Stegostoma tigrinum: one gene and its partner. The protein of the gene in region 1 interacts with the protein of each later gene in a pairwise test. Links are inferred from orthologs where the notes say so. Each region holds a gene or a part of one and is shown in the gene's direction. Other genes may lie near its edges.

Region 1 (15,748 bases):
GAGCTGCCCCTCACAAAGCCATGCTGACTATTTCCAATCAAACTGTGCTTTTCCAAATAATCATAAATGCTATCTGTCAGAATCCTTGCCAATAATTTGCCCACCACAGAACTAAGACTGACTGGTCTGTAATTCCCAGGATTATCCCTATTCCAGTTCTTAAACAAGGGAATAACATTTGTCACCCTCCAATCATCTGGTACTACTCCAGTGTACAGTGAGGATGCAAAGATCATCGCCAAAGGGGCAGCAATCTTTTCTCTTGCTTTCCATAGTAACGTTGGGCATATCCCATCTGGCCCAGGGGACTTATCTGTCATGTTTTTCAAAATTTCTAACACATCCTCCTTCTGAACGTCAACCTGTTCCAGCATATCAGCCTGTTTCACACTGTCCTCACAAGCGTCAAGGCCCCTTTCACTGATGAATACTGAAGCAAAGTATTCACTAAGGACCTCCTGTACCTCTTACAACTTCGCACGCAAGTTCCCTCCACTATCCATGATCAGCCTACCCTCACTTTTTGGCCTCTTGTTCCTCACATAAGTATAGAACATCATGGGGTTTTCTTTAATCCTACCCACCAAAGTGTTTTCATTACCTGCTTCTAACTCACGTAAGTCCATTTTTCAGTTCCTTCCTGCTCCCTTGTAACCCTGTAGAGGCCTGTACGATCCTTGCTTCCTCAATCTTAAGTAAGCTTCCTTCCTCTTGACTAGATGTTCTACGTGTCTTGTCATCCAAGGTTCCTTCACCTTACCATCCCTTCCTTGCCTCAAAGGGACAAACGTATCCAGTATCTGTAGCATGTGTCCCCTGAACAACCACCAGATTTCTGTTGTGTATTTCCCCGAGAACATCTGTGCTCAATTTATGCTCCTCCAATTCAGCAGCGGGAGCAGTGAGTGCGCGAGCCGGGGTGGGGCGGGGCACAGCCGGGAAGGTAAGATTTCTTTATAAAAACTTAGTGACTTGAAAGGAATTTGATGATGTACATATGCATATTACTCATTTAAAACTTTCTAACTGATTAAAGATTCAACAGCATCTTAGGTTTGTTTGATACATCCTCATCCATGGTGTGACCTTTAGATCTGTTACTTAGAGGCACACAGAACAGAATTTCTTTGTCATTTCACCTGCTGACGCAGCTATGCTGTGAAAGCTTGTGCTTTCAAATAAACCTGTTAGACTATAAGCTGGTGTCATGTGATTTCTGACCTTGTCCACCCCATTCGAACACCAGCACCTCCACATCATGGCTATCACAAAACCACCAACTGCTTGTTCAAGCTGGAGAGGATATTCAAGAATATTATGCATATCGACACAGACATCAAGTTTCTACAGAAATGCAAGAAAGCACAAAAAATTCCAAACAGACTACCGATCACAAACCCACTCGGGTTGACCTACAACACTGAGAGACTTTGCCATTGCACCTCTCTCAAACTCCTCGATCATGTGGTGTACCAACTCTACGGCTAGCCTTGAAATTGAGATACAGTCCATTTTCTCAGCTTGTGCTTGAGATACAGCTGTACAGTCACGAGACACTGCCAAACAGACGAGGCAATGGAACCACACCACCTACATGCACAGCAAGAACAAGAGACCGGAGAAACCTGGCATCACACCAGCAACAACCAAGTTGGTGGTACAGTTGAAGGGGGTACAGTTGAAATGGGTGCCACCATGGAAAAATCTATTGTCAGCTTATCAGACCACAGCCTTCAACCAGACGAGATTGAGGTTCTCAGCCAAGAACTCAGTATCTGCCCGCCCACTGAAATGAACCCCATTGGTCTCATGGCAGGCACAGAAGTATTCATCAGATGAATGAGATGCCAGGAATTCTTCCAAGATGTCAGCAGTTACTCCAATGAGACAATCAATGAACTGGATCAGTCGACAGAGATCCATGGAGGAGCGAGCAAAGGAGGAGTCAAATTGGACGCCTCAGGAGGGTCATTGCCTTGGCTTGACAAGTATGCTGAAGCCATCAGAGAATGTGTGAATTCCAGATTTATTAGCCGCAGTCAGAGGCAGTGCAAAACATCAACAGGGCACAATGCAATGGCATCTGTACTCTTAAGATCAATCGCAATATTATCATCAAACCAATGGACAAAAGAGGATCCATCGTCATACGGAATAGAACGGACTACTACAAGGAAGTGTACCGGAGGCTGAGCAACCAGGAACACTATGGACAACTATCTGCTGATCCAACCAAAGAACACACCTGTCAACTGAACAGACTGGTCAAGACTTTTGATCCAGTCCTTCAGAGTACCCTATGTATTCTCATCCCACGTAGGGAGCTTCTACTGCCTTCCAAAGATACTCAAAGCCAACACACCTTGACATCTCTTTGTATTAGGCAATGGGACCCTGTGTGAAAACCCCTTTTGGCTATGTATCTTCGAAGGTTCGTCAGATTAATTCATATGGGTAAAACAAATAGGAGGCAATCACTTTGCTAGACATATACTATGTTTTGGAAAGAGAAAAAGGCATGTAAACAAATCCTGAGGAAGTTTTAAAAAATAATAGGATAAATAGTAGGAGACTTCAGTTTCCCTAATATTACCTAGAGTAGACAAAGTGAGGGCAGAATTCTTAAAATAGGTCCAGAAGAGCGTTTTCTTCCTTTAGAAAGCCAAAATTTAGAAAATCCTACAAGAGAGTGGTGGTGCTGGACTTTAATATTAGGGAATGAAGCCAGGCAAGTGGTAGATGTAGCAATGGAGAGCCTTTGGTGATAATGACCACAAATCAGTAAATGTCAGGATAATTATGGACAAGGACAAAGATGAACTGGAAATAAAGATTCTGCTTTTTTTTTGGAGTTGTGACGAAAGTAGTGGACAGGGGAATGATGGAATTTTGTTTCCATGGACTTTTGGAGGGCATTTGATAAAATCCCATCGAAGAGATTGTTAACTAAGGTGGAAACCCATGGTCTACACACAGCAGGCGGTAGATATTTGGAATTACTTCCAAAACAGCAGTGGATGTTGGATCAGTGGTTAATTTTAAATCTGAGATTGTGATAGATAAGTTTTAAGCAAAGGTATTAATGGATATGGGCCCGAGATCTACAACTGAATGGTGGAAGAGGCTTGAGGAGCTGAATGATCTACTACTGTTCCTTCGTTCCTAATTGAGGGAGGGCTGATTTGAATATGATAAGACAGGATCTGGCCAAAGTGGATTGGAAGGAAAAGCCACATCAGAAAAGTGGGAGATATTCATAATGGTATTAATGAGGATGCAGGGTGAATCATGGGACCAACATGTCTGGAGAACCCTAGATATCAAGGGACGTACAGGATAGTATCAGGGAGAAAAAAAGAGGCTTATGGTAAATACGGAGGGCTCAAATGTTACAAAGATGCCCTCAAGGACTACAGAAAGTGCAGGGGGTTGCTCAAAAAGAAATTAGGAGAGCAAAGAGGGGCCATGAGAAAACACTGGTGGCTAACATGAAGGAAAATCTAATAGCATTTTATGTTAAGGGCAAGTAAAAAGTAATGTTAAGAGTAGAGCCTGTTACGGACCAAAATGAGAATGTGTGTGTGAAGCCGGAAGACACAGCTGAGGTTTCAAATAAGTACTTTACATCTGTATTCACTGCAGACAAGCAAGGTGTAGATGTAGAAATCAGGGAGGGCACTGTAATAATTAAATAATTAGCATTAAGAGGGTTTAGGGGGCAGGAAAGTGGACTTCAGTAAGGCGTTTGATAAGGTTCCCCATGGTAGGCTGATGGAGAAAGTGAAGTCACATGGGGTCCAGGGTGTACTAGCTAGATGGATTTAAAAAAAACTGGCTGGGCAACAGGAGACAGAGTACGAGTAGAAGGGAGTTTCTTAAATTGGAGACCTGTGACAAGTGGTGTTCCACAGGAATCTGTGCTGGGACCACTGTTGTTTGTGATACATGCAAATAATTTGGAGGAAGGTGCAGGTGGTCTGATCAGCAAGTTTGCAGATGGCACGAAGATTGGAGTATCTGATAGTGAAGGGGACTGTCAGAGATTACAGCAGAATATAGATAGATTGGAGAGTTGGGCAGATAAATGGCAGATGGAGTTCAATCTGGGCAAATGCAAGGTGATGCATTTTGGAAGAACAATTTCAAGGGCGAACTATACAGTAAATGGAAAAGTCCCAGGGAAAATTGATGAACAGAGAGATCTGGATGTTCAGGTCCATTGTTCCCTGAAGGTGGCAACGCAGGTCAATAGGGTGGTCAAGAAGGCATATGGCATGCTTTCCTTCATCGGACAGGGTGTTGAGTACAAGAGTTGGCAGGTCATGTTGCAGTTGTATAGGACTTTGGTTCGGCCACATTGGAGTACTGTGTACAGTTCTGGTCGCCACATTACCAAAAGGATGCTTTGGAGAGGGTGCAGAGGAGGTTCACCAGGATGTTGCCTGGTATGGAGGGTGCTAGCTATGAAGAGAGGTTGAGTAGATTAGAATTACTTACATTAGAAAGATAGAGATTGAGGGGGGGACCTGATTGAGGTTTACAAAATCATGAGGGGTATAGACAGGGTGGATAGCAAAAAGCTTTTTCCCAGAGTGGGGGACTCAATTACTAGGAGTCATGAGTTCAAAGTGAGAGGAGGAAAGTTTAGGGGAGATATGCGTGGAAAGTTCTTTACGCAGAGGGTGGTGGGTGCCTGGAACGCGTTGCCAGTGGAGGTGGTAGACGCAGACACGTTAACGTCTTTTAAGATATATCTGGACAGGTACATGGATGGGCAGGGAGCAGATGGACACAGACCCTGAGAAAATAGATGACAGGTTAGACAGAGGATCTTAGTCAGTGCAGGCTTGGAGGGCTGAAGGGCCTGTTCCTGTGCTGTAATTTTCTTTGTTCTATCCGCAGTGATTTTGCTCGGGCGCAATGAGGTCTGAGATATACAAGGCGTAGAACTGGATGAACACAGCAGGCCAAGCAGTTTTCGAGGAGCAGGAAGGCTGATGGTTCTGACAGATTATATTTGAGTTTTTCAAGGAGGTGGCTAGATGTGTAGATGATGATTGTGCAGTTGATGGTGTCTATATGTACATTAGCAAGGCTTTTGACAAGGTCTTGGATGGCAGACTAGTTAAGAAGGTAAGAACCCATAGAATCTAGGGCACTTTGTCAAATTAGATACAAAATTGGCTTCCTGGCAGGAAGCAAATGATAATGAAGAACTGTGTTTGTGTCACTGGAAGCCTGTGTTCAGTTGTGTACCACCGAGTTCACTGCTGCTTTGTCGCGTACATTAATGATCAACATATGTTTGTGTACGTTTGGAGGTAAAATGAAAAAGGTTGGTGTGGTAGATAGCAAGAAAGAAAGCCTTAGATTACAGGGGGATATAAAGGGGTTGATCAGATGGATTGAACAGTAGCAAATGGATTTTAATCCAGAAGTGTGAGGTGATGTGTTTTGGAAGGACCATCAAGACAAAGGAGTACCGTTTGAAAGATAGCACTGTAGGAAGTACAGGGGATCAGAAGGATGTTAATTTGCATCATCATTTAGATTCTTGAAGGCTGGAGGGCAGATGGATAAGCTGCTTAAGGCAGCATATAGGAGACTTGCCTTTATTAGTGGAGCAAGAAGGTTGTGAATGAGTTGTGGATAACATTGATTATGCCATAGCTGAAGGACTGTGTGCAGTTCTGGTCACTACCCAATGGGAAGGAATTACTGCAAAAAAGAAAATGCAGAGGAGATTCACTAGGATGCTGCTTGGGCTGGAATGATTCAGCTATGAAGAGAGGCTAGACAGTCTAGGACTGTTTTCCTTTGGACAGAGAAGGCTGAAGGGGCTTCTGCTTAAGGTGTACAAAGTTCTTACAGTAATAAATAGTACATGGGGAGGAACCTTATCCCTAAGTCGAGGGGTCAATAACCAAGGGCACAGTTTTTAAGGGGCAACAGGTTTAAATGGGTTTGGAGGAAATTCATTTGCCCCTAGATGGTTGCGGTTATCTGGAACTCATTACCTAAGAGGTTGGCAGAAGCAGAAACCCTCAAGAGATTTCATAAGTATTTAGATGAGCATTTGAAATGCCATAGCTATGTATAATGTTCTGTCTGGGCTCGACATTGATCAATCTGTTCCGGACAGTTCTGTGGACTGGCCTCTGTCCTATCAAGCATTAGAAAATGGGAATAGAAAAGATTGGAGATAATGGGAACTGCAGATGCTGGAGATTCCAAGATAATAAAATGTGAGGCTGGATGAACACAGCAGGCCAAGCAGCATCTCAGGAGCACAAAAGCTGACGTTTCGGGCCTAGACCCTTCATCAGAGAGGGGGATGGGGGGAGGGAACTGGAATAAATAGGGAGAGAGGGGGAGGCGGACCGAAGATGGAGAGTAAAGAAGATAGGTGGAGAGGGTGTAGGTGGGGAGGTAGGGAGGGGATAGGTCAGTCCAGGGAAGACGGACAGGTCAAGGAGGTGGGATGAGGTTAGTAGGTAGCTGGGGGTGCGGCTTGGGGTGGGAGGAAGGGATGGGTGAGAGGAAGAACCGGTTAGGGAGGCAGAGACAGGTTGGACTGGTTTTGGGATGCAGTGGGTAGGGGGGAAGAGCTGGGCTGGTTGTGTGGTGCAGTGGGGGGAGGGGATGCACTGGGCTGGTTTAGGGATGCAGTAGGGGAAGGGGAGATTTTGAAACTGGTGAAGTCCACATTGATACCATATGGCTGCAGGGTTCCCAGGCGGAATATGAGTTGCTGTTCCTGCAACCTTCGGGTGGCATCATTGTGGCAGTGCAGGAGGCCCATGATGGACATGTCATCAAGAGAATGGGAGGGGGAGTGGAAATGGTTTGCGACTGGGAGGTGCAGTTGTTTGTTGCGAACTGAGCGGAGGTGTTCTGCAAAGCGGTCCCCAAGCTTCCGCTTGGTTTCCCCAATGTAGAGGAAGCCGCACCGGGTACAGTGGATGCAGTATACCACATTGGCAGATGTGCAGGTGAACCTCTGCTTAATGTGGAATGTCATCTTGGGGCCTGGGATGGGGGTGAGGGAGGAGGTGTGGGGACAAGTGTAGCATTTCCTGCGGTTGCAGGGGAAGGTGCCGGGTGTGGTGGGGTTGGAGGGCAGTGTGGAGCGAACAAGGGAGTCACGGAGAGAGTGGTCTCTCCGGAAAGCAGACAGGGGAGGGGATAGAAAAGATTGGTTGGGACACACCGGGCTGAGTGGCCTCTTTTTGTGCTGTAAAAACTTTTTCACTTCAGGATTCAGATTGAGGTAGCTATAATCTTCCCCAGACTGAACATGATGAACACTGTGGTCAGCTTGTTCAGCATACTCTAACCTGTCTTGTGGGCTGGGAGCATTTTCTCCAATTCATTCTGTCCTCTGTGTCTGTGCACTCCCATCCATTCTGTCTTGTCCATTTTCTCCTGTCTGTCCACACTAACACATCTGGCCGTGGCATTTCTGTCCAGTCCACTGTGTCTGAGTTTGTCCCCTCTCTCTGTCCTGTCCACTGTCTCTGGCCCTGGTCTCTCTGGTATGTGGATTATTCCGGGTGGGGGTTGGGGCCTCGGCTCTGGACCAATCAGCGAGCTGAGCGGTGACTCACCAAATAAGGAGCGGCCGCGCCATAAAAGGAAACATTGTGTCTTTATATGGTGGAAATAGTGCCGGGTATAGGCCGTATCACTGCTCTCCGCCTGCACGCCTCAGCCCCTAAGAGTAGTGGATTCTGCGGATTCCGAGGACGCTACTGCCCAGGGCCTAGGTGGGAGGGAGGCGAAAGGTATTTTCCGGACGGGTCAGGGAGGGTCTGGCTGAGGAGAGGGGGCACTTAGCCTGGCACTATTTTAATGTGTAGTGTAGTGTGGTTGAGAGTAATGCGGCTGAGGTTTCCTTTCCCGGTGTCTCTGGCTTCCACATTGTAGACAGTGTCCCCGGCGTTAGACTGGGAGTCGCAGGGGGGGGGGGGAAACGGAGAAGAGACCGGGAACAGACTGGGTGTGGAGGGACAGACCGGGGGGGGGGGGTCGGGGGGGGGTGATAGACGGGGGTGCACTTTGGGGGGTGGGGGGGATAGACCGGGTAAAGGACTAGGACGGATTGGGATTATTCCAAGAGCAGAACCGGACTAAGAGCGGCGATAGATTGGAAAAGACCTGGGTGAGACCGGGACAAGTGGCCCCGAAAGATAACAAGGAGAGATCGGCTCTGACTGAGATTTAGGGACTAGACCGGGGCAGGGGTCACTCTTTCTCCCCCGCTCCCGGGGGCCATGCTGCAGAGTCCGGCCGGCACCGCTCCTCCTGAGCCCAACAGCTCGTCGTCATCACCGGCGGGCAGCCTGCAGCCAGCGGCCCCGGCCCCGGGCCCGGGCCCCCAGGCAGCAGCCGCTGCCGTGCTGGTGTCCCGGGACAGAGAAGCCCCGCTGCCTGGGCCCCCTTACAGCTGCTCGGAACCCAGCAGCGACGAGGACGAGGAGCTGGTGGTCGCCTCGGCCCCGGCTCCGCTTGACAGGCGGGGGGTCAAAAGGCGCCTGTCCGACCTGGAAGCAGCGGCTGCGGCGGGCCTGGCAGGGGTGAGCGGACACGGCCCGGGGCTAGAGCCTGGTCCGGGGAGCTTAGCGCCGGCTGGAGGCTATGGGGCAGCGTCGGCCCCAGGAGGGACTGCACCAGGAGCCGGACTAAAGCCTGGCAAGAAAACTAGGGGCAGAGTGAAAATTAAAATGGAATTTATCGATAACAAACTGAGGAGATACACGACCTTCAGCAAGAGGAAGACTGGCATCATGAAGAAGGTGAGTCTAAGAGTGACTCCTGTCCTGGAGAGTGCGGGGGTCACGTTCTGAGTGGAGGTAGGGAGAGTGACTCCCGTCCCAGAGAGTACGGTGGTGGGGTTGGGTTTGAGTGGAGGAGGGGAGAGTGACTTCTGTCCCAGAGGGGTCAGGTTTGAGTGGAGAAGGAGAGAGTGACTCTGACTCTTGTCCCAGAGGGGGGCAGGTTTGAGTGGAGAAGGAGAGAGTGACTCTGACTCTTGTCCCAGAGGGGGGCAGGTTTGAGTGGAGAAGGAGAGAGTGACTCTGACTCTTGTCCCAGATGGGGGCAGGTTTGAGTGGAGAAGGAGAGAGTGACTCTGACTCTTGTCCCAGAGACGGGGTGGGTGGGGTGGAGGTGGGGAGAGTGATTCCTGTCCCAGAGAGGTGAGGGTGAGGGGGTGGGGTGGGGTGGAGGTGGGGAGAGCGATTCCTGTCCCAGAGAGGTGAGGGAGAGGGGGTGGGGTGGGGTGGAGGTGGGGAGAGCGATTCCCGTCCCAGAGAGGTGAGGGAGAGGGGGTGGGGTGGGGTGGAGGTGGGGAGAGCGACTCCCGTCCCAGAGAGGTGGAACAGGGAAATGGAGTGGCAGAGAGAGAGGAGAGGGCAAGGAGTGACTCCTTGCCTGGTTTGGGGGGAGAGGAGTGGCTCCCTGCCACAGGTAGGGGTGGGGCAGGGTGAGGGTGGTGCGGGGAGAAGAGTGACTCTTGTTCCAGGGAGAGATTTTCAGTGGTCTGCAGAAAAATAAATGTGCTCGGAGCAAAACTGTGTGTCTGTGTATGGTTTGGGTCTGCACTGAACCGTTGAAGTGTTGTGAAGACGGTTAAGGCATTCAAGAAGATGTATCTGTTTAAACAATGTGCAAGGGTTCTTTTGGTTGGGGGGGGGTTGAGGTAAAGTAAACAAATGATCCTTAGTAATGGCCCATTGGATAGCTGCCGTAATCTTAGTGGGAATGTGGGTGGTTAGATGTGGTAGTGTGAGCTGATGAGGGAGAGGAGACTGGGAAGGGAAAGTGGTGCTGAAAGAGGAGAAAGGAGTTGAAGGTGTGACTGCAGGAGAGAGCGGGTTGGGGAGGGTAAGGAAAAGAGTGGAAGGTGGAGCTAGGGCTGAAGGGAGATTGGAGATATCATTGGGGAGGTCGTTCTGCAGCTGATACTACATAGGGTCAGTGGAAATAAAAGCCCTGGTTCTATATAGCTACAGTGTTACAGACACTACAGGAATTTGTCTTTCTGTGGTCCTTTATACCCACACCACTGTGACCATAGACAACGTAGTGTGTTGCTGTCATTCTATAGAGTGACAATGGTTTTGATACAAGCACTGTACCACATTGTGTTTTCTATGGTGACTGGTGTGGTCTGCACAGTGGAAGGTAACACATGATTGTATGTAGCAACAGTAGTATTAGTGTGGACAGTGGGAGGTAATGTTGCTATGATTCTGTATGATGACAGTGGTCTTGTAGATGTATACAGAGCTACCTGATGGAGAGACAGGTGGGCTTATTGTACAGATGGATATATGTTGAAACAGTACTCCTTTTTAAGGGACCAGACCAGCATCTCATGTTTTGAAGAAAAGCCGTGACTATAACGTTAGAGTAAACTCCCTTGTCGCAGGAGCAGTGATCTTGAAGAGCTTAGCTCTTTAAGCACTGTACTGCTGGGAATGTAGTTCAAACAATCTAATTGTGAATCCGAGAGTAGAGAAGTCTGTTTGAAATGTGCTCCCAAGTTTCTAACCTTGAGTGATTCAGAAGGTGGAAACTTAATTGGTTTTAGATATCATAGATATCACATCATAGTCTTCCAGATAATATTCTAATATGGTGCATTCTTGGTGATGATGAATAAACACTGCTTTAGGCTGGCTGGGAAGGCAAGTTTTTTTTTTAAAAAGACAGAAGGAGTTAAAATTACCTTAGCTGCTGAAACACTGGCACAAGTAAAGTCATAGACTTGTGCAGCATTTGCAGACAATTCGGTTCAACTCGTCCAGGCTGACCAGAAATCAGAAATAAATTTAGTCCCATTTGCTGGCATTTGGCCCATTTCCCTGTCAACCCTTCCTATTCATATACCCATCCAGATGCCTTTTACATGTTGTAATTGTACCAGCCTCCATCACTTCCCTTGGCAGCTCATTCCATACACGCACCACCTTGAGTGTGAAACAGTTGTCCCATTTAAATCCTTTCCCTCACCTTAAACCTATGCCCTCTAGTTTTGGACTCCCTCACCCTGATCAAAAGACCTTGACTATTCTTCATTTCACAACATTTTTTCTCTAGCAAGGAGACCAGAACTGAATGCAGTATTCCAAAACTGGCCTAACCAATGTCCTGTACAGCCACAACGTGACCTCCCTACTCTTATACTCAGTGCACTGACCAACAAAGGCAAGAATATCAAGTTGTCGCCTTCACTAATCCTGTCCACCTGGAATTCTACTTTGAAGGAACTATGAACCCACATCCAAGGCCTCTTTGTTTGGTGACACTGCCCAGGACCTCACCGTTAAGTGTGATGTCATGTTCTGAACTGCCCTATCAAAATGCAGCATTTCCCATTTATCTAAATTAAACCCATCTGCCACTCCTCAGCCCACTGGCCCATCTGAGCAAGGTCCCATTGTACTGATGTATCCTTCTTTGCTGTCCACTACATCAGCAATTTTCTCACCTGCAAACTTACTAACCATTCCTCCTGTGCTCACATCCAAACCATTTATACAGATGACAAAAAAAACAGCGGACCCAACACTGATCCTTGCAGTGTGCTGCTGGGCACAGGCCTTCAGTCTGAAAAGCACCTCTCCATCACCAACCCTCTATCTCCTACCTTCAAGCCAGTTATGTATCCAAATCTCCCTGTATTCTACATGATCTAACCTTACTAACTAGTTTACCATGTGGAACTTTGGATTCTTTACTGAAGTGCATACATATATCTCCTGCTTTGCTTTCTTCAATCTTCTTCGTCACTTCTGCAAAACAGCTGTCAAATTAGTAAAATACGATGTCCCATGCACAGAGCCATGTTGACTATCCCTAAGAGATGGCAAGAACTACAGATGTTTCACTATCCCTGATCAGTCTTTGCCTCTGCTTCTTCAAATACATGTAAATCCTGTCCCTCAGAATCTCCTCCAACAACGTAACTGACATTAGGTTCACTGGCCTGTAGTTCTCTGGCTTTTCCCTTTCTTAAATAATAGAACCAGTAGATGTGGCGGTCATCTTGTCTGATATTCTCAAGGAAGTCTAATGCAAGGGGTGTTCTGAGAATAGATTTGTTTTCTGGAATATTGTGGATAACTTTGGGACAGTGTACATTGAATCAGGGGTGTTGCTGGGAGCAGACTGAGAATAGACTTGCTAGTGTGAAGGAAATGGGTATCCCTGTGTGCACTGTGCTCTGGTGTGACCATTAAATGCCATCTAGTGAAAATTGTTGTTGCGCCAGTTGCCTCTATCAAAATGAAATTGACCATTGTAGACAAATGATTGCAGTGTTATTGCCCACTCTGCACCAGATTTTCAAGTTGCTGAAAATCTCTTCAGCTCTATATGCAATAGACTTGATCTGTGTTGCCAAATCAAAACTTGTCAATCCGCCCTGGTTGCTCAAATATTCTGGCTCATTTTTGTTGTAGGAGAGACTCTGGAGTATGTTGTGCATTTCTGCTACTTCTCTCTAAATATCACTACTAATGGCACCAGCTTAGTTTTTTTTTACAAATTTTAGCCTTTAATAACACAGAACTCCAGCAGTTATTTGCAGTGTTACTGTACTGCATTGAGACCTGGACATTTTCAGTTACACATAAAAGGCTGAGAGAAATTGCACCAGCAGTGCCTCCACCATATTCTGTGGGCAGACCATCAAACAAATCTTGTCATCCTTGATGTAATATTCAGGTTTAACTCCTACATGATCAATTCTGATAGACTGAACATTGTCTAGATTTTTGAAACATGTTTTGCCTACCATGTCCTATTTTTCTGACCCTCAGATGGCTCATTTCAGGTCTCCTTAAGATTGACATTCCTGAGTGGGAAGAAGGTGCTACCCATTGTTCTAAATGGCAGTTGCATCATCGTGAAGAGGGTATGGGCTCAAACGATGAGGCAGAGGGGCAGCAGAGAAGGAAAGAAAAAAGCAAATCCTGCTCTCCATCATATATTTACATCACACCGTCTCGTGGACGTGCACAAGGGTCTGTGGGTGGAGAATTGGCCTGTTGGGTCGTAATTGGCAGAAACCCACAATTGATTTTATGTGCTTGAATATTAGAACAATATGTGATGTAATGCCTGTGCAATGAAACAGCCTGCTGTTTGCCTTTCTAATTGCTTGTGATACATGCAATCCATCTGCATTCCTTGTACAGGTGTACCTAGGTGTATCTTTGCAAGTTTCCCACCTTTTCGCCAAAGTGAAATACCTTGGCCTTCTCCATTCTTTGCTCCATCTATCACATTGTTGTCCACTCGCTCACCGAGTCCCCACCTTTGCTGCCTTGGTTTCCTTCTCACAGCTTATTATATCTCTTCATTCAAGCCATTCACATAGATTGTAAATAGCTGAGGCCAAGCACTGAGGAAGTCCACTAGCCATAACCTGACAACTTGAAAATGCTCCATATATCCTTGTTTGCTTTTTGTCTGTTAATCAGCCCTCCATCAGTTCTAATATATTGTCTTCAAATTCATAATTGCTTATCTTCTATATTGAACTTGTGTACTTTGTCGTATTTTTCAGAAATCTACCTGCACTACTTCTACTGGTTTCCCCTTATTTACCTAGCTAGTTACATTCCCAAAAGTCTCTAAATTTGACAGATGTTATTGCCCATTTGTAAAACCATGTTGCCTTGTACATCGTGCCCTAAATGCCCTTTTATTTTACATGGATCCCAGGTGCTTGTCTCTTGTTTTTGAGATTTTTCATCACCATGTTGTATTATCTAGTTCTTTATTGGAGTAGATTTTTCAGTAGTTGAGATTCATTGTGTGATTGAATGATGAAATGTTGCTTTGTTGTCTCCTTGTCTTGTTATTATCAGGCCTATGAGCTCTCCACACTAACGGGTACCCAAGTGCTTCTCCTGGTAGCTAGTGAGACAGGACACGTGTATACCTTCGCTACAAGAAAACTGCAGCCTATGATCACCAGTGAGACAGGGAAGGCATTAATCCAGACGTGTTTAAATTCCCCTGATTCCCCACCACGTTCCGATCCCACTACGGATCAGAGGATGAGTGCCACAGGATTTGAAGAAACTGATCTGACGTATCAGGTTTCGGAGACGGACAGCAGCGGGGAAAATAAGGTAAAAACCAAAACTGCTTTTATGGTAAGAAGAATAACAAGTGGTCATGCAGTGAGTGGTCCCTATAATGTTCAAAGAATGTGGTGTAGTAATAGCAATGATGAGGAAAAGGCCAGCAAGCAATATTAGAGAGATTAACGATGTCTTAGTCTTCAGAGTTGTTTTGTCTGTTGGTAGGCTGGCAAAGGTGACTGTGGTTAGAGTCCACCAGATGTTTCAAACTTCCAGAGGGCCTTGGTTTGATCCTGGACCTAAACGGTTTCCAACAGTTTTAGGGAAGGTATGCTTCATGTCATAATGTGGGCTCATGCTGTCGGTCGATGGTGATGTAATCAGAGAATTTCTTTTTTAAGATGCAGACTTTCTCATTGGAAGTGAGAACATTGCTGGGCTTTACAGAGCGAGTTAAAAGAACAGGCTGATGCTAATTACTCCCTTTGGTCTTCTGACATCTCAGCTACATGCTTGAGTCTATGGGCTAGTTGGTGATTGAGCATACTGTGTGGAGTGGGCAAAGCGAAGAGGAACTGGTAACAGGACAGCAGCTTTTACTCTCATTTCGTTGGGCTGTGCTAGAACATAACTTTCACTGTGTTTGAATTTACGCTGTGATAGAAAATACTTACAAGATTTGTATGATCAACAGCTGTGAATGTCAGTGAGCTGGGGGTAACATGACATTTAGAATTATAGGCTAATTATCTTGTACCACCACTCAGTGCCAAGATAAATGCTTTCACATTGGATTCATGAATTGCAATGCTCTGGCTGCATTCACCAATTTAGTTTGTGTTCTGAGGAAGGGTCATCAGACCCGAAAAGGTAACTGATTTTCTTTCTTCACAGATGCTGTCAGACCTGCTGAGCTTTCCAGCAACTTCTGTTTTAGTTCCTATTTTAAGAAAGGCCTTTTGATTGCTGGGACCGAGATGCCTAGAAGTTTGAAACCTGTAGAAGCGAGAGACTAATTGCATGTCCTTGCCTGGTAACTTTTAGTCAATCAGAAGGGTAGATGTTGCCATTGTTAGGACAGTTTTTCTCAGAACAACATGTTCTGGAGCTGACTAGAGAGCAGGCTATTCTGGACGTGTTGCGAAATGTGACAGAATTAATGAATGACCTCGGGAACGGCGAGGGAGTAATTCCAGCAAATCAGATCCTCTGCTCCTAATGGACTCCATCCTATGGACTTAGAAGGAGTGGCTAGTGAAATAGTTGATGCATTGTTTTTCATTTACCAAAATTCCCTAGACTTTGAAGGTTCTGTTAGATTGGAAGAGAGCAAAGCTAATTCCTTAATTCAAAAGTAGAGAGAGACAGAAAGCAGGGACGCATGTTAGGCTAAAATGTTAGAAGCTGATAAGTTCAAGGTATAAGTACAGACCGAAAATACTTGGGGTAAAGGGGATAGAAATAGAAGAACTGTACTTGGATAATAATGCAGAAAATAAAGGATTATGGAGTGGATAGGCTAGCAGATAAACTAGTGGATAAACTTACTGGAAGCAGAATATGTTTAAATGAGTCTTTACCTGATTGGCAAGATATAATGAGTAATTTTCCACAGAGATGAGTGCTGGGGCCTCCCTTTGCAACCCCAG
Region 2 (15,897 bases), on another chromosome or scaffold:
TACTCCAGTGAAAATAGTCCCAGCCTATCCAGCCTCTCCTTTTACTCAAACCTTTCAGTCCTGGCAATGCCCTGGTCCTCTCTACAGATACTGCCAGACCTGCTGAGTTTCTCCAGCAGTATTTTCCTTTTATCCTAAGTTGGTTGATAGTTTAACTCTCAACACACTTGCCATTGTTCAACAATTGCAGAATCATGCCTAACATCAGCTATCATGTTCTGAGTTCTTCTCTGTCTTAATTATCTCGATTAAATAAATCTGAGAGCATACTTCATTTTCTATGAAAACTTTTTTAAAAAATCACAAACACAATAGAACAAATTTATTTTAGAAATTTTAACTGTGAGGCAATGACCCTTCGAGCAAACACTATTTTAATTTGCTTTTGTGTAAGCCTGTGCAGACAGTTGAGTGGCAGGTCCAATAGATATAAATCTGGGCCTGTATTTAAGAATGACATGTGTTTTGTTAATATAGCAAGGATGAATTTTCAGTCACTTTGTTGGATTGACTGATACATAGGTCCAGAATGCTACTTCATGAAAAGGCTCAAAGCCCACTATCAACTTCCCATTAAATCACACTGACCTGCTTAGGCCTGAAACATCAGCCCTCCTGCTCCTCTGATGCTGCTTGGCCTGTTGTGTTCATCTAGCTCCACACTTTGTTAGACCTTAGAGAATATGAGTTCTCTTACTGGGCTGTTAATCTGGTCCAATCAAGGAGCATCGGTTGATAGCCAAGAACAGGAGTGTCATACTTCCTAGATAACAAAGTGTAGAGCTAGATGAACACAGCAGACCGGAGACTTCCTGTTCATTGTGAGAGCTGGCTCTGAGGGAACTGGATCAATGTCAAGGACTCAAATAAAGGATGGCTTGATGATGGGATACCAGCCTCTGCAGAGTAATTTACCATTCAGCCACAGAAACTGTCCTCCCATCTGGCTGTGCAATCTCCATAAAATGGCCAAGGGGTAGTTGGTTAATGCAAACATGAGTAATTTGGATGAAAAAGGCTTCTGTTGTTATGGGACAATGCAGGTGGAGATGGATCCTCGGGAAACTGGAGGAAGAAAAACACATTTTAAAATTTATTCTTTCAAGGATATGGGTGTCACTGGCAAGGCCAACATTTGTTACCTGTTCCTCGTCATCCTTGACCTACAAATAGGTCTATTACTGAGAAAGCATGTCCATAGAATCCCTACAGTGTGAAAACAGGCCCTTCAGTCCAACAAGTCCATACCAACCCTCAGAGCATCCCATCCAGAACCATCCCCCTAATTTACACATCCCTGAGCACTATGGGCAATTTAGCATGGCCAATCCACCTAATCCGCACATGTTTGGACTGTGGGAGGAAACCAGAGCACCTGAAGGAAACCCACACAGACCCGGGGAGAATGTGCAAACTCCACACAGGCAGTCCCCCAGGGATGGAATTGAACCCAGGTCCCTGGCACAGTGAGGCTGCAGTGCTAACCGCTGAGCCACTGTGCTACTCTTCTCTCACAATGTTCAACATGAAATCTTAATTCTGAAGCCAAAATATAATGTTTACACATGGTAGTGTCACAGAGTCATACAGCATGAAAACAGTACTGTCCCAAGTCCAACAGGCATTGTAGATTTAAACGCATGTATTATTCAGTGTTCTTGAGCTTGTGAATTTCTCTTATGAGATCAGTTTGAACATTTAGCAATTAACCCTAACCCTAACCCTAATCCTATCACTACAATAGTAGATGTAGCATCTAAGGAAGCAACAGCAAGAGCAACAAAGCTGAACCAATCACAGACACCGATGACTGTCACCAGTCCCATCATCACTAAGTTAACGGTGAGTAACGCAGGGCTTACCCAGAGCTTTAAGAAAGAGGCGAGGGAGGCACGGGGTCTTGATTGAGCTGGAGGCAAAATCCAGTTTCTTAGAGGTGGGGTACAACGTTCTTAAAACCTTTCAGCTAGGTAAACTGGCCCGGAGCCGGTTTTACATTTATTATCATGAATATTCAGTAATACTCCAGTCCCTGGCAGTATGTTCTCAGGCTTAAAGTTGATTGCCAAGAATGTGAAATGGGTGTGTTTATAAACCCAGTAGTGTAGAGGTGCCAGCATGGGTGAGGGTGTTGATAGATAGGCTTCTCCTTGCAAGCTCCAATGTGTGCAAATGTACTCGGTGACTTGGCTCTCTCATAATTACAGTGTTCCTTTGCATAAATGCTTACAGTGTTAAAGCTGAAGCCTCCCCATGTTGATCAATTCATGAGAAGTCTCAGTCTGGCTTGTTGTTGTTAAATGCTTACTGTGTTAAAGGGTGAATCCTGACTGTGCCAACAATTCTGCCCACATGAGGCAGTCCCATTGGCTGATGCCAGTACACTTGACTGGGAAGGGCAGGCAAGACTGAGCTCAAAGGTCGACTCAACTTACAAGATAATGTTTTGTTGTTGTGGCCTTGTTTCATACAGGTTTTGGCACAAAGCTCTCACATCAATATGTTCCTCTTGTTGTGATGGAAAGTCAATGACCTCTTGATGTGTGAGCTGCTGAGTGTCATCACTCTTCTATGTTTTGAATGTGAATCGTCAATGCATGGGAGACAGTACCACATTTGCGCCAGTATTGCTACATTGAGAACTGCAAGAAAGTGACAGACATTTGCAATGTGCAGTATCTGATGCCTGGCGCTGAAGCTCCTGTGTGAATATCCTCAGCTGTGCCAACCTTACCACAGTAACTGATATCCGCATGAAACATAGAGCAGATAGTGTGCATACCCTGACAGAGTGTAGCAGAACAATCATTCTCTTTCAGCACTGAAGCTAGGTTCTCTTGAGCATTCATCACCACAGAAACCAGGCTGCATTGGACAGTTACAATAGCCTCTTGTTGCTATCCAACAAGGAAAATCACTTCCCTTCTTTCCCGGGCACCCTCTCTACGAGGCTTCACCGAAACATGGCACCACTATTTCTTCAGGCTCTGGCCTCTCCAGTAGTGGTTAGGGTGACAGAGATAGTGGGTGATACACCTGGGCAGGGACAACTGTAGCGTTCTTGGTACCCTTGACAACTATGACTTTGATGCCCACTCAGAAAAAATTGAGAAGTCTAAAATTAAACTTTCCTTTATTCATCAACAGGATGAGGATGTGACTGGCTAGGCAGCTTTTATTGCCCATCCCTAAATGCCTAGAGGGCAGTTCAAAGTTTGTTGTGGGTCTGGAGTCATGTGTAGGCCAGACCAGGTAAGGATGGCAGTTTTCTTCCCTAAAGAGCATTAGTGAGCCTGATGAGTTTTTCCCCAACAATTGACTCACAGTCATCATTACATTCTTAATTCCAGATAATTTATTGAACTCAGATTCCACCATCTGCTGTGGTGATTTTCAAACCTGGGTCCCCACACCATTACCTGGGTCTCTGGATTAACAGTCCAGCAATAACACCACTAGGCCATTGCCTCCCCTTAAGTTTCATATTAAATTTAAATCCCTTTAAATTAAATTTTATCTTTAAAAATTCTCTTCCTGACTTCTGCCTCTTAAAATCTGGTGCCCCAGGTGATTGGCTGGTTCCCCTGCAATGTTAAACTGACACTCTTCCTGAGTTACAGAGAGGAATGTGCTATCTGGATGCATTTTGTAGACAGCTCCAGGATGTAGAAGCAGGTTCCAGTTGGTTATCAAACATCCTGCCCATAAAATCTGGTGCTTTACCGAGGGCGTGAATGAGTTTAGAAGAACATAACTACACAGGACAATCTGACTCACACATCAGTGGAAGTTCTACTAGCTGGTACACCTGCCTCCACAGTTCCTCCCAAATAAAGAAGGACTCAATCACCAATGAGCTAACCATAGCCTACAAAACCATTATCATGTGATCATTAGTAGTATAGATACTGCTAGCGTAAAAAAAAGGTGGTTTAATCAGTCACACAACCATTGTAGCTACATTTGCAACATTCATACATGATATCATCACATGGCTTCACAATAACTCATGGCAGCACAATTTGCAACGTAACCAATGCTGAAAGTTGTTGATAGTAAGTATGCAAATGTGTCAGGCAGTAAAGAAACCAAACTGTATGTTGGCCTACATAGTGAGAGGATTCAAGTACAAGAACAAGGATGTCTTGCTGCAATTATAAGAGGGCATTGTTCAGGCCACACGTGGAATATTGTGTGCGGTCTTGGTCTCCTTAGCTGAGGAAGGATGTTCTTGCTGCAGAGGGAGTGCAGCAAAGGTTTATCAAATTGATTCCTGGGATGGCAGGACTGACATGCCAGGAGAGACTGAATCAGTTAGGATCTTATCCATTGGAGTTGAGAAGAATGAGGCAGCATCACATAGAAACTTATAAAATTCTAACAGGACTGGACAGGGTAGATGCAGGAAGGAGACAGTAAGGAGCAGCTCAAGTCAATAAACATAGAGTTGGAAAAGCACAGCAGGTCAGATAGCAGTTTGTGGGAACTTGGAGCACACAATCTGCAGCGCTGCATTTCATGCATTACGACAGTGACTACTCTTCAAAATACTTCTACAGTTGGAAAGGAGTTTATGATGGTCCAAGGTGATTAAAAATGCTATATAAATACAATTCTTCCTCCCCATCTTTGTCCCATTAGGCGATGATCCAAGAGGGTTCATCATGACTTTCTCAGTGTAACTGCGGGGTGGACAATAATTGCCAAATGTACCCACCTCCTAAAAATAGCATTGAAAGAACCTCAACGGAGAGTGAATGGCTGACAGTTTTCCAGTCTGTGTCACTGTTTTTAAAACCAGCAGATCCCAATGTTAAGCCCATGAGATAATGTCCTCTGAGTGACACAACCTGCCCTATGAGATTTTACTTTCCATACTTCCCCTCAGGAATAAACATATCGGTAAGGGCCGAATGAGAATAGAAACATAGAAGGTAAGAGCAGGAATAGACCATTCGATCCCTCGAACTGACTCTGCCATTCATTATAAACAAACTGATCATTGAGCTCAATAAAGTGACCCGACCCTACTCCCATTTCCTTTTAACCCTTTAGCAACAAAAGCTATATATAACTCCTTCTTGAAAATATTCAATGTTTTGGCCTGAACTATTTTCTGTAGTGGCGAATTCCATAGGCTCATCACTCTGAGTGAAGAAATTTCTCCTCATCTCAGTCCTAAAAGGTTTACCCCATAACCTCTGTTTATGGACTATCCCACCATTGGGAACATCCTTCCTGCATCCACAGTCAATACATATGAAGCTGGAAAAGCACAGCAGGTCAGACAGCATCAGAGGAGCAGGAAAGTCAATGTTTTGGGCTGAAAGCCTTTGTCCAGGATGTGTGTGTCTGTGGCAATTATTGTCCACACTACAGTTATACTGAGAAAGTGATGATGAACCCTCTTGGACCATCAACCAATGGTATAAAGATGGAGAAGAAGAATTACATTCATCTAGCATTTTTAATCATCTCATATCAATATAAACCCCTTTCCAGCCATGAGATTATTTTGAAGAGTAGACATTGCTATAATGCAGGAAATGGAGGAGTGGACTGCATCCCAAAACCAGTCCAACCTGTCTCTGCCTCCCTAACCGGTTCTTCCTCTCACCCATCCCTTCCTCCCACCCCAAGCCGCACCTCCATCTCCTACCTACTAACCTCATCCCACCTCCTTGACCTGTCCGTCTTCCCTGGACTGACCTATCCCCTCCCTACCTCCCCACCTATACTCTCCTCTCCACCTATCTTCTTTTCTCTCCATCTTCGGTCCGCCTCCCCCTCTCTCCCTATTTATTCCAGTTCCCTCTCCCCATCCCCCTCTCTGATGAAGGGTCTAGGCCCGAAACGTCAGCTTTTGTGCTCCTGAGATGCTGCTGGGCCTGCTGTGTTCATCCAGCCTCACATTTTATTATATTATAATGGAGGAGTGGAGATTGTACACGCCAAGTTGCCACAAACTGCAATGTGATTATGACCATGTGATGCATCTTAATGATGTTACCTGATAAACATTTACCAGGCTATTGAATAGCGCTTATCACAAGGACCTTGCTTTAACATGTTATCCAAAATATAGTGTCTTCAGAAATCTATCTGCCCTCCAGTGCTGTATCCCGTCACCTTAATTCTTGTGGCCGGATATCAACATGGATTTCACAAGCTTCAAAATCTCCCCTCTCCCCACTGCATCCCAAAACCAGCCCAGCTCGTCCCCGCCTCCCCAACCTGTTCTTCCTCTCACCTATCCCCTCCTCCACCTCAAGCTGCACCTCCATTTCCTACTCCTAACCTCATCCCGACCCTTTGACCTGTCCGTCCTCCCTGATTGACCTATCCACCCTCTCCCTCCCCACCTATACTCACCTCTACAGGCTCCATCCTCGCACCCTAAACTTGTCTATCTCCTCTCCAACTATCTTCTCCTCTATCCACCTTTGATCCACTTCTCCTTCTCTCCCTATTTATTTCAGAACCCTCTCCCCATACCCCTTTTCTGATGAAGGAACTAGGCCTGAAACTGGGCTCCTAAGATGCTGCTTGGCCTGCTGTATTCACCCAGCTCCACACTTTGTTACCTTAATTATTGTGCTCAACTTTTCTCATTCGCACATGGGACATGGGCATCACTGGCTGGGCCAACATTCATTGCCCATCCCTGGTTGCTGTTCAGTAAGTGGTGGTGAGCTGCCTCCCTGAACCGTTGCAGTCCACATGCTGTAAATAAACCCGAAATGCTCTTAGGGAGGGAATTCCAGGATTTTGAGCAGGTGACAGTGAAGGATGGTGAGTGGGTTGGAGTGGAACTTGCAGTTGGTGGCTTTCCCATGTATCTGCTGTCATTTCCCTGTAGATATAAATGGTCATGGGTTTGGAAGAGGCTGTCTAAGTGTGCCTTATTGAGTTCCCGCAGTGTGTCTTGAATGTTGTGCCTTGTAGTGACACTTGAATTTACAACTTTCTGATTCTGACGTAAAAACATGCTGTATGGCTGGCACTGAGAAAACTTGAGCTATATTCCGAGATCACAGATTTCATGCAGATTTCCAGTCTCTAAATCTTCTGCCACCCCATCTTCAGCCAATGCCCTGTCCCTGTTACAAAATGATCTGCAATGCGTAGCTCTTGCAGAAGGAAAGGATCACTCTGATAGCCACAGACATTGTGGTGCCATTCTGTGTCAACATTCCTTAGGTTGTTTGATGGCCCTCTCTGAGTGATGGTTTACAGTAACAGGCCATTCAGCCCACCTTGTCCATGATGTTGTCACCATAAATCAAAAGGGTATAAGAAATAAGAATAGGAGTAGGCCATTCAGCCCCCCTCAAGTATGCTCCACCATTCAATAGGATCACAGTTGATCCAACATTCCTCACATCCACTTTCCTGCCCTTACCCCATTACACATATATTCTCCTTTGATCAAGAATCTATCATTCTCTGCTTCTCTGTCCCCACAGTTCTCTCTGGTAAGGAGTTCCAAAGACTCACAACCTTCTAGGCACTATGCTCCCTGGTCCCGTGCTCTTCCAGGAGGGGAAAGAATCCTCTCCGCATTTACCCTGTCAAGCCACTTAAGGATCCTATATATTTCAATTAAATTATCTCTCGTTCTTCGAAACTCCAGCCAGTAGAGTTCTAATCTGTTTAGCCTTTGCTCATAAGACAATCCCTGCATGTCAGCAACAAAAACAAAGTTGCTGGAAAAGCCCAGCAGGTCTGGCAGCATTTGTGGAGGAGAAAATGGAGTTAATATTTCAGGTCTGGTGACCGGTCATCCGCAGTTCTTTTGGCCCTCCATGTCAGGGTTCATCTTTGTGAACCTTCTGTGAGCTGCGTCCAATGAAGTGATATATTTCCTTAAAGAAGGGGACCAAAACTGCTCCAGTACGCCAGACATGGTCTCACCAGCACCTTGTACAGTAGCAGTAAGATTTCCCTACTCTTGTACTGTAACCCCCTTGGGATAAGGGCCAACATTCCATTCGCCTTCCTCATTACCTGCTGCACCTGTGTCCTAGCTTTCTACATTCCATGTATAAGTCCTTCTGAGTCCCTTTATGTTGCAGCTTTCTGCAGTTCTTCTCCATTTAAATAATATTCTGTTCTTTTGTTCATCTTCCAAAATGAACAACTTCACATTTCCCAGATGATATTCCATTTCTCAATTTTTTGCCCATCAGGCACAATTAATATATCCTCTGCTCTTTCTCCATCAGCAATTTCCCAGCTTCTTTTCCGATAATATCCTTCCAGGAGAGAGTTTGGATAGACAATGGCATTTGCATCACTGAATTCCTCACCATAAACATCCTGGCAGTTACCAATGACCAGAAGCTAAACTAGATCTACTCTATAAACATTCTGGTTACCAGAGCAGGTCAGAGGCAAGAAATCCGGCAGTGAGTAACTCACCTTCTGACTTCCAACAGTCTGTCCATAAGACACAAGTCAGGAGGCTGATGAAATACTGCCCACTTGCCTGGATGGTTGCAGCTTGAACAACACTCAAGAAGCTCAATACCATCCAAAACAAAGCAACCCACTTGATTGGCACCACATCCAGCAACATCCACTCCCTTCACCACTGTTGCTCAGTAACAACAATGAGTACTATCTACAAGATGTGCTGCAGAAATTCACCACCAAAGATCCTCATACAGCTCCTTCCAAAGCCACTACCACTTCCATCTGGAAGGACAAGGTCAGCAGATACATGGGAGCACCACCACTCCAAGTTCCCCTCCAAGCCACTCACCATCCTCACTGGGAAATATATCACGTCCCTTCAGTGTAGTTGAATCAAAATCCTGGCACTCCCTACCTCCCCAACAACAGTGCGAGTAATCCCACACCAAACAGATCATGTAGTTCAAGAAGGCAGCTCTCCACCACCTTCTCAAGATTTATTGAAGATGGACAATAAATACTGCGCAGGCAGCCACACGTAAAGGTGACGATTAAAAATAATTCTCTTCAATCAAATGTCTTCACAAAGGCCTTTGTTGGGTCAGCCCTGATTTCCCCAGTTTTAGTTAGAAGTCTAGGTCTACCGCCTCTGTTTGGAGCAATATGTGGGGTAGACATCTCAGCTACTAAATTCCCAACCAGTTCCATTGCACTGCGACCATCCACGTGTCTCGCTTTAGGACGCCGCGGACATCCTCAGCTGAGCTGACAGCTCCCAAAGGAACCGAAAGGAAATCGATCTGGAGAAAGAAGGGGGTGGTAGCGAAGCGAGTGGTAGAGGTGGGGAGAAGCAGACAGAAATCGCCACACGGTGGGGGCAACACGAGGAGAGGATTATAAACGGAGGGGAGATAGAGCTGTCAGGGGTTAAACAGTTCCCTCCTGAGGGTGGGGTTGTGCGTAGGAGGTGGAGACCGTGAAGGGAGTTGTGATTGTAAGGGGTGGGGGCGTCACAGAAAATCTGGCGTGAGGAGGTCCTGATCTCTCTCTCTCTCACACACACACACACAGGCTGGCAGAGAAACACCCACCAGCAACCACCAGCCCCACCCCACCCCACCTTCCGCTGGAGAAAGCCCTGACCCCTAAAGTGACAGGAGACACCGTGATATTAACACGGGGAGGAGGTGGAGGCGAAGGAAATTGACAGACATGAAACTGATCGGCGGGGAGAGCCGAGGCCAGCAGCTGCCGCTTCACAAGGCGGTTAGGAACTGCAGCTCTCCCCCTCAGCCTCCCAGCTCCCAGTAAAGCGACCGGAGAAGGATTTCTATCGTTATCAAAAACAGCATTCTTTTGATTCGGTTTTAATGTTAATAGCATGATCACCCTGGAACTGCCGAACTCGGAATTCGCGCAGAGAGACCTGGCACACTGGAGTTGGGGGTGAGTATCTTTTGTATCTGTTTGTATCTTACTGTGTCTTTGCAACAATGTTTCATTTCCTTTGTTCTTGGTTAATTTGTAACAAATTTTTTTTAAAAAATCATTGGGTTACAATGTATCGAGCTAGCGGATGTAGCGATTTCGAGTCCAGCTGTCGACTGCATGTCTATGTGGTGAAGTGGGGAGTTAATTAAAAGGGTTTGGCAAATGACTATTAGAAATCAAGCGAAAAAGATAAAAACAAACTGAGCATATTGCTGAAGGTTAGGAATGGCATTATATATAATTGCCTAAACAGATGGGCTGTACTTGAATTTAGAGATTGTTTCTCCCCGTGATGTAAACTCTCACTGGACCTTGTTTAGGCCTGGAGTTGCACCTCCCGATTATTTTGCCTTGCACTTTATTTTATCGCTTTTATCAAATTTTTTTCCCCTGACCCCACAAATCTGCTTCTCCAGTTGGCAGCTGTCACGGAGGGAGATTCGCTTCCTTGAAGAAACTGGTCAGAATTTGGGTTAAGAGTTGTGGATGTTTGCCTCGCTGGCCTTGGGCGAGGGATTAGGAGGACCAACGTTCCGGCGCTACATCGCTTATCCTCAGGGAAGCGTGTGTACGTCTGTAAGGCAGGAGAGAAGGAGGGAGTGTTGCTTCTTCCACACCAGGCAGCGCTTGCTTGCATTTATATAGCGCCTTTCACAATTAAGTGTTTCAAAGCACCTCACAGAATTAACTCTCTTTCAATGCGAGAACTGTAAGTCAGTATTGAACCCTCCCTCAAATAACAATGCAACTGTGGCCAGACAATCTGTTTATGTGATATTGAGAGGGAAATAACGGCCAGGGCACCAGGGAGAACTCCGAAATTTCTTCAAAAGCGTATCACCTGGAGGAGCAGGAAGGTAGAGCCTTGGTTTAACATTTCATTCCGGGAGACGATGCAGCACTCGCCCATGGCACTACAGTTGTAGAGGGGCACGTGACTGTGGCACAAGGGAATGTCAGGACGGGGCCAGGAGTGTGGAGGTGGGCATAGGATGTAAATGATGCTTTTCAGGCCCTAAAGTTATTGAACTTGGTAACAAATTCTGAAAGCTGCAAGGTTGTTAAGTAGAAAAGGTACGACACGGTGGCTCAGTGGTTCGCACTGCTGCCTCACAGCGCCAGGGATCTGGGTCTGATTCCAGCCTTGGGCCGCTGTCTGTGCAGAGTTTACGCATTCTCCCTGTGTCTGTAGGGGTTTCCTCTGGGTGCTCTGGTTTCCTCCCACAGTCCAAAGATGTGCAGGCTAGGTGGACTGGCCATGCTAAATTGCCTGTAGTTCCTGGGGATGTTTAGGTTGGGCACATTAGACATGGGGAAATATAGGGTTATGGGTATGGGTGGGGTGCTCTTCGGAGGGGTGGTGCAGACTGTTGGGCTGAATGGCCTGTTTCTGCACTTAGGGATTCGATGAAAATGAGATGCTGTGCTTCCAGGTTGCACTGCAGGAGGCCTGAGACAGAAATGTTAGTCAGAGAACACAGCGGTGTGGTGAAGTGGTAGGCAGCTGGAAGCTTGGGATCATTTTTGAAGACAGGATGTACGTGTGCCTCAAAACGGTCGCCCAGTCTGTACGCTTGGTTGAAATACACATGTGGATCAGAATCCACTGGTGGTAATGTTCAGTTCAGTTGCCACATTGTTGTCCTAGTGGGTTGAAATGGAATCAAGACATGGGGGCGCACCAGGTACTACTACAAGGAGGAAGCACGTGTCCCTGAATAATAACAAGGAGAACTGATGGCCTGGCTGTGAAGCAAAGTAATCTTGTCAGAAAACAGTGAGCGCAAAGCTGGAGGCTGAATTATCTTCACAGTAATCACTCCCACATACTCATTATTTTTAACAGTAATAACTTGTGTTATTTATACAGCAGCGACGCTGAAGTTGGAGCTATCGTTAGAGAATGGGTAGGTTTGCAGGTGTCGTAGGCAATGCTGCTAGTCAATGCAATAGGCAGTCCACTCTGAAAAGATTAATTATCTGATTGAGCCCTACACATAGCTGTCAGTCTAATGCCTGTGTTCCTGGCATTCCTCTGTCTTGGAGGATACATTACTGTAAATAGTTCATAGATCCAGTTAAAGTATCAGAGGAATGGAATTCAAGGGTGTTAATTATCACAAACAAAAATGTATTTGTATGCAGGTGGGTTTTCTCCTAGCATGAAAGCGTGAGACCAACAATATAGAAAAATGAGTAAAGGACAAGAAATGTGTAGGAGCAGGAATGAGGAGGTAGTGTGGTGGCATTGTATCAGAGATAAAAGGAACTGCAGATGCTGGAGAATCTGAGATACTGCAGATGCTGGAGGCCCAAAACGTCAGCTTGCCTGCTCCTAAGATGCTGCTTGGCCTGCTGTGTTCGTCCAGCTCCACACCTTGTGGCGGCATTGTCACTGGTTACTAATCCAAGCAAATGTTTTGGCATCACTGGTTTAAATCCCACCATGGTGGCTAGTTGAACTCAGTTATTGAATCTGGAATGTAAAGTTAGTTGTGGTAATGGTGACTATGAGAATCAATTGTTATTACACCCCATCTAGTTCACAAATGATAGGAAATCTGCCATCCTTACCTGATCTCACCGTTGCAGACTCTTAACTGCCCTCAGTTGGCCTCACAAGCTGATTAGTTCTAGGGATGGGTAACACATGCTAGGTTTGCCAATGATACCCAGGGAAGAATGAAGAAAACAAGGGTGCTATTCAAGTATCCTTCAATCAGAATGCAGCTGATCTGTAACTCAACTCCATTCATCCAACTTTGCTCTATATTTCTTAACATTCTTATGTCATGCACTCCTTACAATTGCAGTCTTGAGAGTTTCAACTGAGCTCCAGCCTCAACAGCCTTTTGGCGAAGAATGGTTCCAAATTACCATTCCCCTTTGAGCGAATCCCTTTCTGATTTGACTCCTGAATTTAGTTTGAAAACTGTACAAAATTATTCCACACTCTCCACATGAGGAACTGCCTGATCTGCATCTAGCCTCACAACACCTTTGCACATTATTAAATGCCTCCTTTAGATTGCCCCTCATGTTTCTAATCACAACAGGGCACACATCAGGTTTATGTAACCCATTCTCATTATTCTGTGCCAGCAGTATACTGATCAACAGGCATTTTACCAAGACCTTGCTGGAGTCCAGAATTAAATGCAGCATTTATATTGCTCTTTTCACAATCTCAGGAGGACGCAAAACATTTTGCAGCCAATAAAGCATTTCTGAGTATTCCTTGTGCATATTTAAGGGTGGGATACGTAGATTTTTGATCAGTATGGGGAATCCAGGATAACAGGGAAAATGCAGGAAAGTGGATGTGAGGAATGTTGGATCAGCCATGACCCTATTGTATGACGGAGCAGGCTCAAGGCACAGAACGGCCTACTCCTGTTCTTATTTCTTATGGTCTTATGGCCTAAATAGTCTTCATTGTGTAATGTAGGAAATTTGACAAGCAATTTACATGCAGTAAGGCCCCATTAAAAAAATAAGAAAATATCTGTTTGTGATGGCAGTCAAGGAATAAATATTGGTCAGAATAAGTCTTCAGAAAGTGTATGGGATCTGTTACTGAAAAGACAACTTAAGGTTTCGTCAGAGAGACAGCTTCTGTCTATGTAGCACTTCTTAGACACTGGCACGAATTTTGTGTTCAAGGTCTCAGGAGTGATGTTTGAACCTACAACCTTTTGATTCAAGGCATGAGTGCCACCCATAGCCAGGACTGATGCAGAATCAGGGCCTTGATTTTATTGGAGCAGGCTGTCTCACAGTAAGTGAATGTACCCTGCTTACATTCACTTTTTAAAATATATTCTCCACAAATTTGTTGGAAGTGAGAGGATATAACGGTGTGGTGGAAGCTATGGGACTGTTGACCCAATGATACCGAGGTCTATTTCCTTTATCAATTAGATGGAAAATTGAGAAGTAAGGAGCTTAGACTGAGACTGAGACGAATTCCTGCCTAATCAGTTGCACAAAGTAAAATCAAGATGTGGGGATGGTGGGGTGGAGAAATGACTAGATTAAGAGACAGAGAAAAAAGAAATTGTAAAGAAAACCTAGAAAAATTACTTTTAAAATTGGTCATTTTGAAAGACTCCCCAGAAAATTCAAATCCTGGGTGAATCAATCTCCACATTTACAATCATTTATCTTTCTGAGCAGGAGAGTTTTGCTGGCAGTAATTAACAATTATCACATTTTTAAAAGGGGACTTGTGTTTTTAATTACTAGACTTAAATTTCTGTGGTGTATTTGATGGGTAATTAATGTTCGCATGCAACAAACTTCAAGAAACTCACGGGGCGGTAGAGTGAGATGCTATTTACATGAAGCTGATGGCTCAGCAGTGCAAATTAACCAATAATTTGTGGTGATTTGCATTTCACAGAGCATCTATTCCTTGCTACAAGTTCCTGACTGATTTGTGCTTAAATTGTGTGTCTTAATCTTAACCTATCATTTCTTGATCCTATTTTCATTCTTCAGATGTCCTTTTCCCCACTCTCACTCAATTGCACAATGCAGTGGGAAAGTTGAGATAAATTCCACCATAAATGTACCACTCAGAACTCTGTCATCTATTGTGCCAAGAGAATAGTTTGTGTGTAATAGCAGCAATCTGTAACCTACGGTTTGCACTTCTGATAGCTGTGCAGAATTAATCAACTCTATCAAGTCTGTAAACGAGAGGTTGGACATTCATTACTATTAACCTTCAGGATGACTTGTTTTTGTTCTTATATCAGCCTACATGACCCATTCACTGAGAGTTGATATTATAAAGATTTCTAAAATTATGAGGGGCATGGATAGTGTGAATGGCCATGGTCTTTTCACCAGTGCAGGGGGTCCAAAAATAGAGGGCATAGATTTAAGGTGAGAGGGAAAGACTTAGAATAGAATAGAATATCGTTTATAGTCACATGTACTCCAGTATCGAAGTACAGAGAAAAGTTTTTACAATGGCTGCCTTTTAATGATACAAGTAGCTAGGTACAAATGTTACAGAGTCAAAAACAATGTTGTTATACAAAAGAGGATTGAACAGTAAGGATTTACATTACACCCTGGTCAGAATATCAAACAGCAGCAGCTCAGCATGTGGCACCAGGCCCAAGTCCAACAACTGACCCACATCACACCAGCCTCCTGTCCGCTCCTCACTGGCACTCAACAACAACAAGGTAAGTTGCGCATTCCTGGGATTCACCTCCCTTGCGCTGCTCCGGCACTTGGGATTCTTCACTCGGTGTCCCCGGGCTCACGGCCCACTCGGTGTCCCCGGGCTCACAGCCCAAGTGCTATATTGGCTCATTCCCCTCCCTGCTCCAGGACACGCAGTTCACACGTGATACCTGCGGGGCAGCTTTTTCACTCAAAGGCTGGTGCATTTATGGAATGAGCTGCCTGAGGAAGTGGTGCAAGTGGGTACAATTACAGCATTTTAAAGGCTCCTGGATGGGTATATGAATAGGAAAAGTTTAGAGGGATATGGGCCACATGCTGGCAAATGGGACTGGATGAATTCAAGGTTTCTGGTCAGCATGGACAAGTTGGACCAAAGCATCTGCTTCATTGCTGTACATCTCTATGACTCCATGACAATAGATCTAATTTGCCTTAGGCAGGATTGGATTAGATTCCCTACAGTGTGGAAACAGCCCTTCGGCCCATCAAGTCCACACCGCCCCTTGAAGCATCCCACCCAGACCCATCCCCCTATAACCCACACATCCCTGAGTACTACAGGCAATTTAGCATAGCCAATCCACCTAGCCTGCACATCTTTGGATTGTGGGAGGAAATCCGAGCACCCAGAGGAAACCCACACAGACATGGGGAGAATGTGCAAACTCTGCACAGACAGTCACCCGAAGCCGGAATTGAACCCGGGTCACTGGTGCTGTGAGGCTGCAGTGCTAACCTCTGAGCCACCGTGCCGCCCCCACTTAATATAGGTCAAATAAATATTTTTAA

The links.
Region 2: the proteins of serum response factor-like (region 1) and ETS domain-containing protein Elk-4-like interact in a two-hybrid assay, tested with the Homo sapiens proteins (2 studies listed by BioGRID and IntAct). The link is inferred for Stegostoma tigrinum from reciprocal best matches to the Homo sapiens genes SRF and ELK4.

The regions. Positions count from the first base shown.
Region 1 is NC_081357.1:7,492,091-7,507,838, reverse strand, and holds the start of serum response factor-like, read left to right. Parts: upstream 1-8,075; 5' UTR 8,076-8,273; coding exon 8,274-8,795; intron 8,796-13,880; coding exon 13,881-14,147; intron 14,148-15,748. UniProt on the Homo sapiens protein: SRF is a transcription factor that binds to the serum response element (SRE), a short sequence of dyad symmetry located 300 bp to the 5' of the site of transcription initiation of some genes (such as FOS).
Region 2 is NC_081374.1:6,978,630-6,994,526, forward strand, and holds the start of ETS domain-containing protein Elk-4-like, read left to right. Parts: upstream 1-9,235; 5' UTR 9,236-9,861; intron 9,862-15,897. UniProt on the Homo sapiens protein: Involved in both transcriptional activation and repression. Interaction with SIRT7 leads to recruitment and stabilization of SIRT7 at promoters, followed by deacetylation of histone H3 at 'Lys-18' (H3K18Ac) and subsequent transcription repression.